Linked DNA regions of Diceros bicornis minor. The protein of the gene in region 1 binds, or shares a complex with, the protein of each later gene. Links are inferred from orthologs where the notes say so. Each region holds a gene or a part of one and is shown on either strand. Other genes may lie near its edges.

The links.
Region 2: DIS3L (region 1) and EXOSC10 share a complex: the UniProt entries of both Homo sapiens proteins name them as parts of the RNA exosome complex. The link is inferred for Diceros bicornis minor from reciprocal best matches to the Homo sapiens genes DIS3L and EXOSC10.

The regions. Positions count from the first base shown.
Region 1 is NC_080744.1:60,497,625-60,505,605, reverse strand, and holds the start of DIS3L (DIS3-like exonuclease 1), read right to left. Parts: upstream 3,023-7,981; 5' UTR 2,967-3,022; coding exon 2,828-2,966; intron 1,442-2,827; coding exon 1,288-1,441; intron 1-1,287. UniProt on the Homo sapiens protein: Catalytic component of the RNA exosome complex which has 3'->5' exoribonuclease activity and participates in a multitude of cellular RNA processing and degradation events.
Region 2 is NC_080752.1:30,363,408-30,370,511, reverse strand, and holds the start of EXOSC10 (exosome component 10), read left to right. Parts: upstream 1-4,014; 5' UTR 4,015-4,065; coding exon 4,066-4,176; intron 4,177-5,914; coding exon 5,915-6,051; intron 6,052-7,104. UniProt on the Homo sapiens protein: Catalytic component of the RNA exosome complex which has 3'->5' exoribonuclease activity and participates in a multitude of cellular RNA processing and degradation events.

The DNA.
Region 1 (7,981 bases):
TCTTTGCTTTTGAATGTCCCAGGAACTGGCTTTTAAAACACTCCTTAATATTAAAAATATTTTAGAAAACAGAAGTTGAAAAGGCTCGGCAGTGTGTTAGCAATCAGAATGATAACAACAAATTGATTTTAGTAGCAGAAATTGAAATACGACATTTGGAGCAGCATTTAAACCTGGATGTGTATAAACATCTATATCTTTGTGTCTGAACAAAATCAACTTCAAGCTCATTTAAAAATATTCTACCTGAAAAACCTGCACACAATCTAGAAAAACGCACATTTTTTTGAACTGAGCACATAATAAGGACAACTTATCATTTTCATATACAAATAAACATACTTCATCTTTTGCTACCTTAAAAAACCACAACATTTAAAAAAGAATGAACACATAGTTTCTGTTGTTTAAATAACCTGGGGTGTTAAGAGGTTGAATATATAATTCTAATATGCTGTTTTCATACAGTCTTTAAGTTCAAATCATAAATCTTTCCCAATGTTAAATGAAGCAGAACCATTTTTTAGAGTACAGTCGGCCCTCCGTATCCGCAGGTTCCGCATCCGCGGATTCAACCAACCGCGGATTTTACATGTAGGTACTATGTTTTTGATCCACAGTTTGGATTGGTTCCGTGGTCCTGGAACCAATCCCCCACTGATACCGAGGGGCGACTGTACTTGTTTAAAAGGTGAACAACTGTTATTCATTTAGGCACAAGGCAAGCATTTTAGACTCATTTCAATCAGAAATCTTTTGTTTAGCAAATACAACTACTATGGTTGGTAGTTATACTGGTAATCTAAAAATAAAACAAGTTAATTCTGGTTTCAATGACTAAATCACTACAAGTACAATTTGCATCCACAATAAAGGAGTCTAAAATTTAAAAATAAAGTACTCTTTTTCCCAAGGGAAAAAAAAGTAAGCTTCTGAAACAATATGTCTATAAATAAGATTACGTAAAATGCGTTATCAACAAGAAATCAGCAATAACTCGGCTACTATAAAAATGCAAACCAAAAGCCAAGAATCTTAAATACCCACATACTGGGGACACTGCAGTTTATTGATCTACAGTCAGATCTTTTGGCCAGGTGTTGAAGCAGAAATATAAAATAATGTTACTGCATTCCTCACTAGCAAAGAGAATACCAAATTAGTTCAAAAAGTCTCTTCTGACAAAGTAATGAATTCCTCCCCTCTCCATCCAACAAGGGGCTTTTTCTAAGGGGGAAACAAAAATCTATGCCATAAATAAATAAATAAATAATGAAAACCAGATACCTCCGGCCTCTTTGATGCTGCACAGCTTGACAAGCCGTTTGCATGAAAATAATTCCCTTTAATTCAGGAAACTCAAGGATCTCCAGGTAATCTTGAACAATTTTCCAATCTGGGATCACGTAATGAGTCACATCACTAGACAAGAGTTTCCCATCTGAAGCATAATTCAAAACGTAAGAGATTAGACAACATTTGCAAACCTGGATTATTTCAACGTTATGGTGCCCTAGTGTGCAAAATCACTTCCAATCTTACTACACGGTGAAGTTTTTTAAAGACAAGATAAATCTACTTTGGTAGAGGCACAAAGTTCAGGTAGATTCAGCACCGTCATTTTTCCGAAGCTGCGATAAATAAAAGCTCAATGTTGTTTACGGTGTTGCCAGGGAAGAAGGAGATGACTGATTTTTTAAAACAAACAAGCAAATCTTCAGAACAACCTGAATATTTCTGCGTTAACTCACTGACATACGCACATTCAAATGGGGCACCCCAAAATATACATGTTAACCACTTGTTTCGCCCAGCTATTTCAAGTCTCTGTCTCAAGTTGGTGAACATGCTCAGGAGTCTCCAAAGACCAAAAAGACTGAATTGACCAGAAAAGATGCTCAGTGCAAGCAAGGGCAGCGGTAGCGTTTCCACCCTGCCCGTGTCTCAGAGAGCTGGTTAGCCAAGCTGTAACTAAAACGTTCACCTTAACATAAGCTGAGGATTCCAAATATTCGCTGAAAAGGACCCCCACGCTCATCTCCCACCAGAGGGAAGAGAACCAGTAATCTTCCTCGATAAACTGGTCACCCTGCAGCCTAGAAACCAAGTAGGGAAGGTCTAATGCACAGCAGTCCCAAATCTAACTTCCCCACGACCTTCCTGTACAACGAGGGCCCAGATTATTCACAAATCCTGCAGTGAAGAGGGTGTCCACTGGATAAACGTCTGAGGCATCGGTGCCGGCAGGTCAGAATATTTGTGCGGAGCAAAGCAACGTAAAATGACGCCGCCGGCTCGCGCCCCGCCTCTCACTGCGGGGCCAACAGCTCAGGAACTCCCCAGTCACCACCACACGGTCCTGGGGCGCAAGAGGGGGCAGGTTCCTGAGCCCACAAGCCCCTCGGAAGGCAAATCACCGGGCCTCGGGGCTAGGGGGGCGTCCGTCTCCCGGCCCTTCCATGTTATGGAGCGGAGCAGTCGGGGAGTCCCGTGTGGGGAGCCCAGAAGCAGCGGACGAGGGGCGTCTCTGCGGCTCTGAAGCCGCCGGCCCCTCGCTCCTGACCCGCAGTCGGGCCGGAGGTAATGCCTGCGGGCGGGCGCCTCCGCGGCCTCGCGCTCCGCCTCCAGGCCGTGCCCTTCCTCCTCACGGCGGGCGCTCGGCCCCGGCCCCGCCGCCCTCCGCTCCCCTCGCTCCCGCCCGGCCTCGGCCCCCCTCGCTCCCGCCCGGCCGCCCTCCGCTCCCCTCACTCCCGCCTCGGCTCCCCTCGCTCCCGCCCGGCCCCCCTCGCTCCCGCCCGGCCGCCCTGGCTCCCGCCGGGCCCCTGACCGTTGCGGCAGGCGGCGGGCTGCGGGCAGAGCGGGCTGTTGCAGGGCACGCTGGGCCGCAGGTAATGCTCCCGCACGATCCGCAGCGTCCGGCCCTGGAAGGTCCTCAGGAGCAGCACTTTCTCCCGCTTCTGCAGCATGGTGGCGGCGCTCGCCCGGCAGAGCTCCGGGCCCCGAGAGGCCGCCCCGAGCGAGCGGCCGGGAAGCGGCGGGCGCGGCGCGGCGCCGGCGCAGGCGAGGCCGAGGCTCCGGGCCCGCCCCCTGGGCCTGGCCGGCCTGGTCTACGCGCGGCTCCGGCCGGGCCCGGCCCTCCTGCCAGCTGCCTGGGCGCTCCGGGGGAGCGGGGGGCTGAAACGGCGGTAACCGCCTGGGTCCCGGGGTTGAGAGCAGGAGGAGGCCCTCTCCCCCAACCTGCCTCAGTTTCTCCCCTCCTACAGTTGCTTGGGGGCAGGGAGGGATGGAAACCACCCCAAAGACCTATGGGAGATAAAGATAATATATGGAAGCTAGTGTAAAGTCTTGGGAAAGAAGATTTGGTGCAACTATAAAGGATTATTATACTTTGTTTCTACCCCCAGGTCCATATGGGAACGGGGCTGTTGTTCTAATATGGGTAATTATTAGTGTTTTCTGTTGGTTGCTCTTGCTGTCCCTGAAGGAGCCAAAAGATTCAGTAAATAAGCCAGCAACCCTGCCAACACAACATTTTTTTTCCCTTAAATACGTTGTATTTATTTTTAATTCCATGTATTTTTAATCCATACAAAAATTCAAATAATGCAGATAAAATGAAAACCAGTCCCTTCCCTTGAGGTAAACACTATCCATTCAACCCCAACTTTATAGCATTTGCAGCTTCTGGCAAAGGAATTCTCCTTTAAAGTTGATGGAGACTCATACAGTTTCTTCTGAGATCACACACTTTGGGTTGGATAGAAGCCACTGTTCTTCAAAGCACTCAGCAAAGACTTTTGAGCTGCACCAGAAGCTTTACATACAAGTGCCCCATTTAATTTCTACAAGTCAATGGAGTTAGACATTATTATCCCCATTTTACAGATGATGACACTGGATTAGGGAGGTTAAGTGGCCAGGGTTACCCAGTTATTAAGTGGTGGAATCAATATTCAAGCCAGAATCTGGCTGAATCCAAAGCAGGCTCTTAACTAATTACTGGGCTGTTAGATGAATAAAATATAGCTCTTGTATCTAAGGAGTTTATAGTCTACTTGTTGAGCTCTGGTTAAGGCAGCTCTACCAGCTGACTGGGAACATCAAAGCTTCCTCTTACCCTGAAGTTAGCAAAACTAGGGTCTCCTGGTGGATCACTTCCTTTACTCTAGAGGAACATATTACAAAGTCATGGTCTCATATTACAAAGTCATGGACGGAGTATTTTTGGTCAGGTTATCTGTAGTGTGGGATGATATGAGTGAGATCCCAGACGGAATTGCACAAGTTAGGAAAACATTACAGTGCTGGTCCACAGGCCAGAGCGTTAGGAGGGCCCACAAGGCAACCGGCAGTGCAGGAGGCCTCCCTAATTGAGGAGGTCAGTTCTAGAGATCCCAGAGGAAGGGAAAGTAGCCAAATTTGTGCCCTACATAGAAGTGCTTCAGACAGCTGCCCACAATTCCGTCCAAAGCTCATCCATTTTCATTTTTCTTTTACTTCTGATTATATGTCCTTAACATTTCTCTTTAGCATTTGGTAGCTTTAATCTTTCTCTAAATTGGGACTAATGATCTTTTAAGGAAGAGAGTGTGTCTAGGGCTCTATTGAAAGTTGATTTTATCAGTATTTAAAATAATCCAAGGCCCATCAAGCACTTCCTTTGCTTGCATTGAGGCAATAATGTACAAATTATGTTCTTAAAAGCATGATCCCTTAGTTCTTGGAAGTGATGATCTAAAATGGACAAGAATGCCTTTCTGTTGGTTTGTTTGTTCACAGACCATCTGATGCCTCTTGCCTGAAAAAAAGGTTTCTATATCAATCAGAATAAACTAGGTTATGCTGCAGTAATATACAACTTCAAAAATCCCAGTGCCTTAAAACAACAAGATGTTGCCTGGGTGCCTAGAGGCTCCGTTTTGTGTTGTGCTTCTCCAGGACCCAGGGTGACGGAGCCAGTTGTCTCTGCGATACTGTTTGCTGTTCATTGGCAGAGGGCAAAGAGCCCTCTAGACAGCCTTACGCGAGCAATTAAAAGCTCAGTCCAGAAGTGGTACATGTCACTTCTGCCTGTTGGCCGGAACTAGTCACATGACCACACATCCAATGGGGATAGAGGGATGAGAGAGAGAGAAAGAGAGAGAGAGAGAGTAGGGAGTGGGGAGGTGGCAGACGGGGGCAGGAAGTGCATTTCTACCTCATAGCCTGAAGGCACAGTGCCGAAACCCTTTGATGAGCAGCATTTGTGTCTACCTGAATGCTCCCAACTCAAACCCCTTAGCCCTAAGTGGGTCTGCTCTGCCATCACCCTTGTACCTGTGACTACTCCAGCTCAGCCCGCTATCCAGTCCCTGCTTGGGCATTCTACTGCTCACCTCTTTACATCCTCGGCCCCCTCCCCAATAGCCCCAATGAGCCAAGCATACATCACCGCATCATCTTTAATCCTCATCACAGTCCCTCAAGGTAAATATGTCATTTCTTGTGCCAGAGACTGGCTCTCTGATCACTGAATCCATGTCCTCTTTTTCTCTGGGCACATAGATGAATCACATTTCCCAGCCTCCCTTTGCACATAGATGGGTGTGGCCACAGAATGTAATCGTACCATTTCCAGGCCTGGCCCATAAAAACCTCCCGTGAGCACTCCTCTTTCCTGTTCCACTGGCTGGATGCCAAAGCCCAGGGGCTCTTGGAAGGCAGCACTGAAGACAGCACGCCCCCTCCCCCAATCAACTTGGGTCCCAGACGGACTGTGCAGAGCAGAGCCCTGCCTCCCCCAACCAGGAGCATCCACAGGGGACTCTTGTAAGGGGGAAATAAACTTTTGTTTTAGCAGCTAGCATTACCTTAATCAATACATCCCCACTGTACAAGGGAGATTAAGAAACTTGCTGAAGGGGTGCCTATTTGTTTCAAAACCCCTCTCTAGTTATTAAATGTCGTGATGAAGCTGCTTGAGGATTCTACAGCAGTTCTAAATTGTACAGTGCTCTAGGAGGTGGGAGAGCAGCAGTGGTATTCGGTGCTCTAGTTTGGTCTGGGCTATGGTGCCACAGCAGTGCCACACTGGGAGGGATGCTTGGCAGCTTGCTTCTCTTTTCAGTTTTCCCTTTCCTTGTCAATCCAAGTGCAGATGGGCAGCCTGGTGCTCAGATAGCAGAATGCTGTGACAGCTTTCAGCCCTGTGTTGAAGATGGAAATCTCTGATTGTGGCTCGGTTTCCCTGGTGCATGACTGCAGTCTTCTTCAGGCTGAGCACCAGCGTGCTTACACTGCAGGAGTTTGTAGCATTTGCTGCATCTCTTTTTGCAGATGCACTCTGGGAGTGCAGACATCAGCAACCACTGGATTAAAATCAAAAGGTCTCATCAAAAGGTTAGCCTAGAGAGGGTGGGGCATCTTTACAAAGGGCTAAGATGACAGGGAGGTTAAATGTATAAAAGAAATTCTGGAAGGTGAACTGCAAGGGCTAGAGTGGATTACTGAAGCAAGCTTTGAAATATTCTGTCACTATTTATTTACTTAAAATTACAATAGTACAACATGCTTGTTGCAACACATTCCAACAATACTGAATTGTGCCAAGTAAAAACATTGAAGCTCAGTTTGCATCTGAAGTCTACTCCTCCCAAGTCATTTACTGTTGTTGAGAGCTGGTATGCATCCTAGAAGGCTTTAAATATAATCCAAAGTTTGCAACTTTTTGAAGAACTTGTCAATCTATGTAGTATCAGCTAATTACAGTTAATGTTTCTCAAACTTTTACTAGGTGCCACTCACTGCTCTAAGCACTTTTCTGTGTTTTCTCATTTAATCCTCAAAACAATGCCTTGACTGTGATGCTGTTACCAACTCCATTTTACAGGCAGGAAACTGAAGTAAGAAAGGACTGAGTAGGCCACACACTCAATGTATGGTTTTGGCTACAGAGCCCAGGCAGTAATGACATAGCCATGCCACCTTTCAGCTAGAGAACAGCAAGAGTTACAGCATGCGGTACATTCTATATGATGGAGCTAGGATGACCCCAGTTATTTTAGGTTTAGGGAATTGGAAACAATGACAGTCAAATATTGACCCTACTACTTTCCTAACTTCCATGAGCCTTGGTGATTTCCACTATAAAAGACAGCTAGCAGGACAGATGGTGCTGAGTATTGGTATTAACCAGTCAATGATTCTAAAGGGTCATGTAAGTATCTAAAATTATCCCATTTCTCTGAAGAATCCGCTTACTTTCATTTGTGCTCCACCTCAGTGGAAGAGTCATTGGAGGACAAACGGCTGCTGAGATTCCTCTGCTACTTGTATTAGGGATAATTTAATTTCCTATATGTTAAAGGCTGTTAATCCTTGATTTTCACTTTTCCCAGCAGATACAATGGCTCCCTTTTGGCTTTCTAAACACCCTGTGAATCCCCATAATCCACTTTGCAATGATTACTCTAAAACGTTCTGCTTAACCCTTTCTAATTTTTTAGAGAGAAATTATTTCGTACTTACCAATTCATATCTCAGCAAGATTTTTGCTATACTGTTGACCTACCAGTAATTTTGTCCTTCTACCACTAAGGGGCACTGTTTCATTGATTTTGGGGGGGGGGCGGTTGGCAGGAGGGTGCTTCTGCTAAAGTCCCTTCTGTGCTGGTATCTGAGTAGCTGATACTTGGCCTTTCACATACTGCCATTAAAATGCAGCCAATTATTTGAGGCAAAAAACAAACAAACAAAAACAACCTTAGTATTACACAATACGTTTATCCAAGGAGCTCAAAGGTCCAGATGCTCCAAAATTAATTAGAAACCAAGCTTCATTGATTAATATAGAAAAGAAGAAAATCCTTTAAGTCTTGAAGCCAACTAGACAAAATTCAGTTATATGGATAGCCATTTATAATTTAAAAATAGAAACATTACTATTTGTCATTTAATTTTTTTGTATTGATGTTAATTTGATGAAATTAAATTTTTATCCATC
Region 2 (7,104 bases), on another chromosome or scaffold:
GGGCCAAAATGAGTGGAAAAGGTCTGTCTCCTGCCTCACCTTGATGCTGCGACTTACACACTTCAATCCAAGACCCGAACTGCTAGGAGAGGAGTTTCTTCAGATTGCTGGGCGGCTCAGCTGAGCAGGTGCACAGAGGAGATCGTGGCGCAGTAGGGTGGCCCACAATGGCCTTCCCCAGCACGATTCTGGGTGTTTTCAGTGAGGTCTGATGCTCTATGTTTAGAGCAAGGGCTTGGAAAACAGAAATGCTGTCATGGAGGTGCTGAACACAAGAGAGGCCAGGTCTAGTACATGTTGGGAATTACGAGCAAAAGAAATATTAAACTAAATGCACAAAGTATAAAGTGTAGCCATGTCTAGACACCATGTTGTATCTGAATAATTTTTGTGCCAATAAATGACATCAGAATTTTAAAAACATGTATATGAGTGGCTTTTTATTCATGATCATTAGTTCATAAAGGAAGCAGTTATTCCTTCAACATTCATTAAGCACTTAGTACTAGCAACTACACAGGATGTGGGATCTACACGACGTGGTCCCTCTCCTCGCGGTGTTCACAGGCCAGACAAGGCAGAGGCGGCGTCACCTAGGAGCGGACTGACAACTCCACCAACCTAAGCGGTGAGAAGAGCCACGTCCAGAGGGTGAGCGTAAGAGGGGGCACTAACTCACTGGGCGAGCCAGGAAAGCCTGGGGGAAAGGGGGACATTTGCCACGGGTCTTAAAGGAGGAGTGGGAGTTTGTCAGATGAAGCAGATGAGGACATTCCTGGCAGAATCGAGAGATAAAAGCACAATATCGTGCAGCAATGGCAAGTAGTAACTTGAACAAGATTAGATTGCAGGTATTCAGCCACTGTTGATACATAAAATGGCAGTTTCTCACAGCTGGACCTCAGAGTTCAGCATATCTGGCTCAGTGGTCAGTACGGAATAAAAGGAGTAATAGGAACTAAAAGGAGGCTACAAAGCAGAGTGAGGCCAGACTGGCCTTGCCTCAAACGGCAAGGAGTTTGAACGTGATGCTGTGGACGACAGGGAACCATGTGAAGTTTTAAAACAGAAGTAGAATCTGAGTCGTGTTTTTAAGAGCCACCTGGTGTCAAACAAGTGGAAAGAAAATGAGAAGCCACAAGATCTAGTCAAGAGGCTGTTGCAATAATGGAGAGGAGAGAACATTGAATGGAGCTGGCCAGTACTATGTTTGGGTTCCTCTAAAGAAAGAGCACACCTGGGGGCCTGACCACGGCGTAGCGGTTAAGTGCGCGCGCTCCTCTGCTGGCGGCCCGGGTTCGGGTCCCGGGTGTGCACTGACGCACCGCTTGTCAGGCCATGCTGTGGCAGCGTCCCACATAAAGTGGAGGAAGATGGGCACGGATGTTAGCCCAGGGCCAGTCTTCCTCAGCAAAAAAAAAAAAACGAGGACTGGCATGGATGTTAGCTCAGGGCTGATCTTCCTCACAAAAAAAAAAGAAAGCATGCCTAAAGAGAAGTTCTTCCAAAGAAGATCGTTTTTAGTTGTTCAAGTAAATTTTTTTTTCTAAATTCCTATGGGCCACAGCTACCCAGTGAGAAATACTGTATCATTATAAAAGCTATTCAAAGAACTTGTGTTAGGGGAGCATGAGAATTACAAGGCCAGGAGGCATATCGTATGTGACTTTGTATCCCCAAAATCTGCCAGAAGACCTAGCCCACAGTGGTATTCCATATAGGTTTGTTTGAGGACTCTTCTATTAAAAACAAAGATGGATTTTTTGGATTTTTAGTGATACTAATAACAGTTTTAACCTTCACAGCTAGAAAATCTCATACCTATCTTAAATTTTCCATGAACAATCTTGTTGTTGTTGTGAGGAAGATCAGCCCTGAGCTAACATCCATGCTAATCCTCCTCTTTTTGCTGAGGAAGACCGGCTCTGAGCTAACATCTATTGCCAATCCTTCTCCTTTTTTTTCCCCCCAATGCCCCAGTAGACAGCTGTATGTCATAGCTGCACATCCTTCCAGTTGCTATATGTGGGCCGCAGCCTCAGCATGGCAGGAGAAGCGGTGCATCGGTGCACGCCCGGGATCCGAACCTGGGCCGCCAGTAGTGGAGCACGTGCACTTAACCACTAAGCCACCCGGCCAGCCCTCCATGAACAATCTTAAACCATGTATCAACTTTTGTGACAGAAAATGTGATCACCATAACTTTCTTGGTTCTACCTGAAATAATTATCAATGACTACAGTGATCTTACCATTCATGAAAGATAAAGGGCATAGGAATGAATGGACTCAGGGAAATTGTGGCAATCAGTGGTAAAGACATACCTCAGGACAGGAGAGTCATTGGGATTAAGATCTTTGGTGATGGGCGGGCCCAGTGGCTTAATGGTTAAGTTCGCCAGCTCCGCTACTGGAGGCCCGGGTTCGGATCTCAGGCGCACACCGACACACTGCTTCTCCGCCCATGCTGAGGCTGTGTCCCACATACAGCAACTAGAAGGATGTGCAACTATGACATACAGCTATCTACTGGGGCTTCGGGGAAGGAAAAAAGGAGGAGGATTGGCAATAGATGTTAGCTCAGAGCTGGTCTTCTTCAGCAAAAAGAGGAGGATTAGCACGGATGTTAGCTCAGGGCTGATCTCCCTCCCCAAAAAAAAAAAAAAAAAAAAGATCTTTGGTGAATCCAATGGGTTTTAAGTTACATCTAAGCAAATCCTTTGTTGAGATGAATTACCAGGGGCAAGTGAGGAAATAATCAAGGCATTTGAAGACAGTCTAATTACCCTATCAATCCAGATTGTTTCACACAACTGCTTTGTGAAGGGAGGGATGTGGCAAAGAATGACTTTGGGGGTCCTTACATTCACAGGGTGCCATAGGCTGGGCCTTAAAACTCTGGGAGGCATGTAAAGTGGTTTGTAAGAGTCAAGGCTGTAGTGTCAGATTGCGTAGTTTCAAATCTCAGCCCCACATCATACTCCCTGTGTGACTTTGGCCAAGTTACTTAACCTCTCTATGCCTGTTTCCTCCTCTGAAAGTGTGCATAATGGTGTGATCTACCACATAAAGGTTGTTTTGAGGATGAGATAATAACCATGGAAAGCACTCAGCACAGCCTCACATGTGATATTACGTTGAACTATATGAAATAAGTGCTCAAAAGTATTAGTTGTTAAAAGGAACAAGGCTAGGCCTTTGTTCTGCCAGGGCACCTGTGTACCTGAGGTACACAAATTGGGGGGGAAATGAAAAGTATCCTGCTAAAAGAATACTCCGAATAACGATGACAGGTAACATTTGTTGAACACTTACTAAGTCAAACGACTTGTATTAAGGATGTGCTACCCCGATCTTAGGAGAGAAGATACGCCCTGCTGAGCTTCCCAAAACCCATCCCCTGAGCTGCGTGATAATACAGTGCCTCCTTCATAACTATGCTCTTCCAGGCATTCATTTAACAAATGTTTGAGTTCCCACTATGCCTTACCAAGAGTGGCTCCAGCGGTGTAGATGGGGAGGAACGTCTGACTGCAGGAGTTCGAGAGCACTGGAGGTGACTAAGTACAGGGGGAGCAGGCAGACGTCTTTTCGAGTTCACCTGTAAGAGGCAGGAGAAATGCGCCGGTGGCTGGAAGGAGGCGTGGGGTCGTGTTGTTTTTGTTTTGTCTTTTTACTTGGGAGAGATACCGTCACATGTGTAGGCTGTTAGGAATGAACCTGTATCCAGGGGAAAGATAGGTGATGCCAGAGAGAGGAGATAATTGCAGGAGCCACGATCAAGTTGGGAGGGGGAGGCACGGAACCAGAGCTTGGGAGGAGCTGACTTTAAATATGAGAATAACTGGGTCCTCCGGGTCCCACCCTAAATCACAGATTGTTGGGACGATACAATCAGGTTAAACAAAAGATGCAAAGCCCCCCCGGTGGGGCGCTCAAGCCTGAAACCTCAACGCACGTTGCCCGCAGCTCGTCCCCCGCGACGACAGCCTTTGCACATGCGTGGTGCGCGCATGTCGCGTCGGCCCGAGGCACTCTCGCGAGAAGAGCCGTGCAGGCCGGGAAAATGGCGCTTCCCAGTCCCGGAGATCCCAAAGCCCCGTCGACAACAAGCGCGGCCAAGTCCGACGGAGAGATGGTGCTGCCGGGCTTCCCGGACGCAGACAGCTTCGTGAAGGTGAGCTCGCGGGGCCTTGGGGGCACCGGGAGCCGCCCGCGGCCGGCCGGAAGCAGGCCCGGGCCCTCTCTGCGGCCGCACTCCCGGCCGTGCGCGAGCCGCAGCAGAGCCCGGGCGGGGGGCGAAGGGCCGTTACCCGCGCCGGGCACAGTCTCTCCCTTCACCCCCGGGGATGGGGCCTCGCACGCGGACGCTGAGGGACGCTCTGCTTCCCAGGGCCCTCGTTCTCTCCTTGGAGCGCATGCAGCTCTGAGTGTGGAGCGCCGTCTCCGCGTCGTGGGAAGGGCCTCCTTGTCACCCTGATGTCCCCAGCCCCCCCCCCCAGGCCTGAGCCACCCATCCAACTCTCCGGAGGGACTCCGCAGCTTTAGGCTTCCCACAGCTGCCGGCGTCCTCCCCTCGCGCCTCTGGGATGGCCCTTCTTCCCTCTCCGGAGGTCCAGTCCTACATAATCCCCAACCCTGGGTTTAATGTCCCCGTGAGAGCTGTCACCGAGTCAGCCTCCTCTAAGTGCGTTAGCACATTTATCAATGCCTTCTTGAAGGAACACAGGGTTCAGTTAAATTATTTGTGTATTGATGTTTAAATATGAACAAACATAAAACTAGGTTTAAACGCCTCATGCAAAGCTGTTACGAAGCCATGAAGCTAAAATAACTTGTAAGTTAGCACTACAAGTTCCAAAAACTCCACTCACGTTATATCTAATAAGCAGATGCTATTGTTAATTCATTTATTTGGCTCTGAGTTGTTCCTGGACCACTAGCCGTGGTCCTGATTAGGTGGCCTTTGTGCTCACAAGCCACCATATACTCACGTGACTCAAGTTCCCACCTCCTTTCTCTCATTTTTTTTTGGAAAATGTTTATTACGCAACTCACAATGATGTCATTTGGCCTTCACCTGACCAACCATCATTTATCTATGACAGTCACTTCAGGTTTTTTCTCATGACCACACAATTAAAATAGACAACTACTTGGGGCCGGCCCGGTGGTACAAGCGGTTAAGTGCACGCGCTCCGCTGCGGCGGCCCAGGGTTCGCCGGTTCGGATCCCGGTTGCGCACCAACACACCGCTTGTCAAGCCACGCTGGGGTGGCGGCCCATATAAAGTGGAGGAAGATGGGCACAGATGTTAGCCCAGGGCCAGTCTTCCTCAGCAAAAAAAGAGGAGGATTGGCAGGTGTTAGCACAGGGCTGATCTCCTCACACACACAAAAAAAAATTATTCTGAAAAAAAAAAAGAAAACGTAGACAACTACCTGGCACTAACTGGACCATAAACACAAGTCCAGTTGTGGGCAGTAGCCATTATAAATTGGTCATCCGAAGGACCTAGAATATTCTTATATTGTTTTTAGATGCTCTTCCCAAATGAAAACACAAAAATAATTTTCTGTAGAAAGCTCATGGACCTGAATTTGAGTAGTAGTAATAATAATGGCGCTTATGTGCCAGGCGCTAGCCTAAGTGATGTATGTAGTTGTTCTTTCTCTCCCCACTCTCCCAAGAATATAAGCTCCAAAACTTGGTTTCGTGTTCACCATTGTTTCCTTAGGACCTAGGGTAAAATCAGCACTAAATGAATATTTTTTGGATGTGTAAAGATAGGATATCTTCATCATCTAGCACAATGCATTATATGTAATGCACATATATAGATCTTGAAAAAAAGTTGCTGAATGAATGGGGACTCCTGTTTAAATAAACATGCTTGTTTTTGTGGTTTTTGACAGTTTGCTCTTGGGTCAGTGGTGGCAGTCACCAAGGCATCTGGGGGCCTACCACAGTTTGGCGATGAGTATGACTTTTACCGAAGTTTTCCTGGCTTCCAGGCATTTTGTGAAACACAGGGAGACAGGTTGCTTCAGTGGTAAGTACTACATATTGTTTTCTTGTGTTGAAAGAACTGAATATAAAGAAGTAGATAATTTTTCCTAAAATTTGTTTTTTCTTTCCATAATTTTCTATACTATAAAGAGCTCTGAAATGTAAAAATGAGACAATGGATTTTTTTTTTTTTTTTTGGTGAGGAGATCAGCCCTGAGCTAACATCCGCCAATCCTCCTCTTTTTTTTGCTGAGGAAGACGGCCCTGGGCTAACATCCGTGCCCATCTTCCTCCACTTTATATGGGACGCCGCCACAGCATGGCTTACCAAGCAGTGCGTTGGTGCGCGCCCGGGATCCGAACCAGCGAACCCCGGGCCGCCGCAGCGGAGCGCGCGCACTTAACCGCTTGCGCCACCGGGCCGGCCCCGAGACAATGGATTTTGATTAGGGAAGCGTTACTTGGTAACTTTTGAGTTTAACCTTTAAAAAATGTATTGACTTTTGGGCCAGCCCAGTGGCCAACAGTTAAGTGCACGCGCTCTACTGCAGCAGCCCTTGGTTCAGATCCCAGTCGCACACCAATGCACTGCTTGTCAAGCCATGCTGTGGTGGCGTCCCATATAAAGTAGAAGAAGATGGGCACGGATGTTAGTCCAGGGCCAGTCTTCCTCAGCAAAAAGAGGAGGATTGGCATCGGATGTTAGCTCAGGGCTGATCTTCCTCACACACACACACACACAAAAATGTATTGACTTTGGATGCCGGCCACATGATGCAGTGGTTAAGTTCAGCGTCCTCTGCTTCGGGATCCGGGCACAGACCTACACCGCTCCTCAGCCATGCTGAGGCGGCACCCCCCACACAGAATAGAGGAAGATTGGCACAGATGTTAGCTCAGGGCTAGTCTTCCTCAAGCAAAAAAAAAAAGAAAATGTATTGACTTTTGCATCTATGGACAGTGAATCTTTTTGAATTAACATGGGACTTGAAAACCTAGATCCAAGATTCTCTAACACAACTTGCAGAGTCACAAGTATTAGCTTTCTAATAAGTGTATTAGGACAGACAATACACAAACATTGATTTTGTTTTAC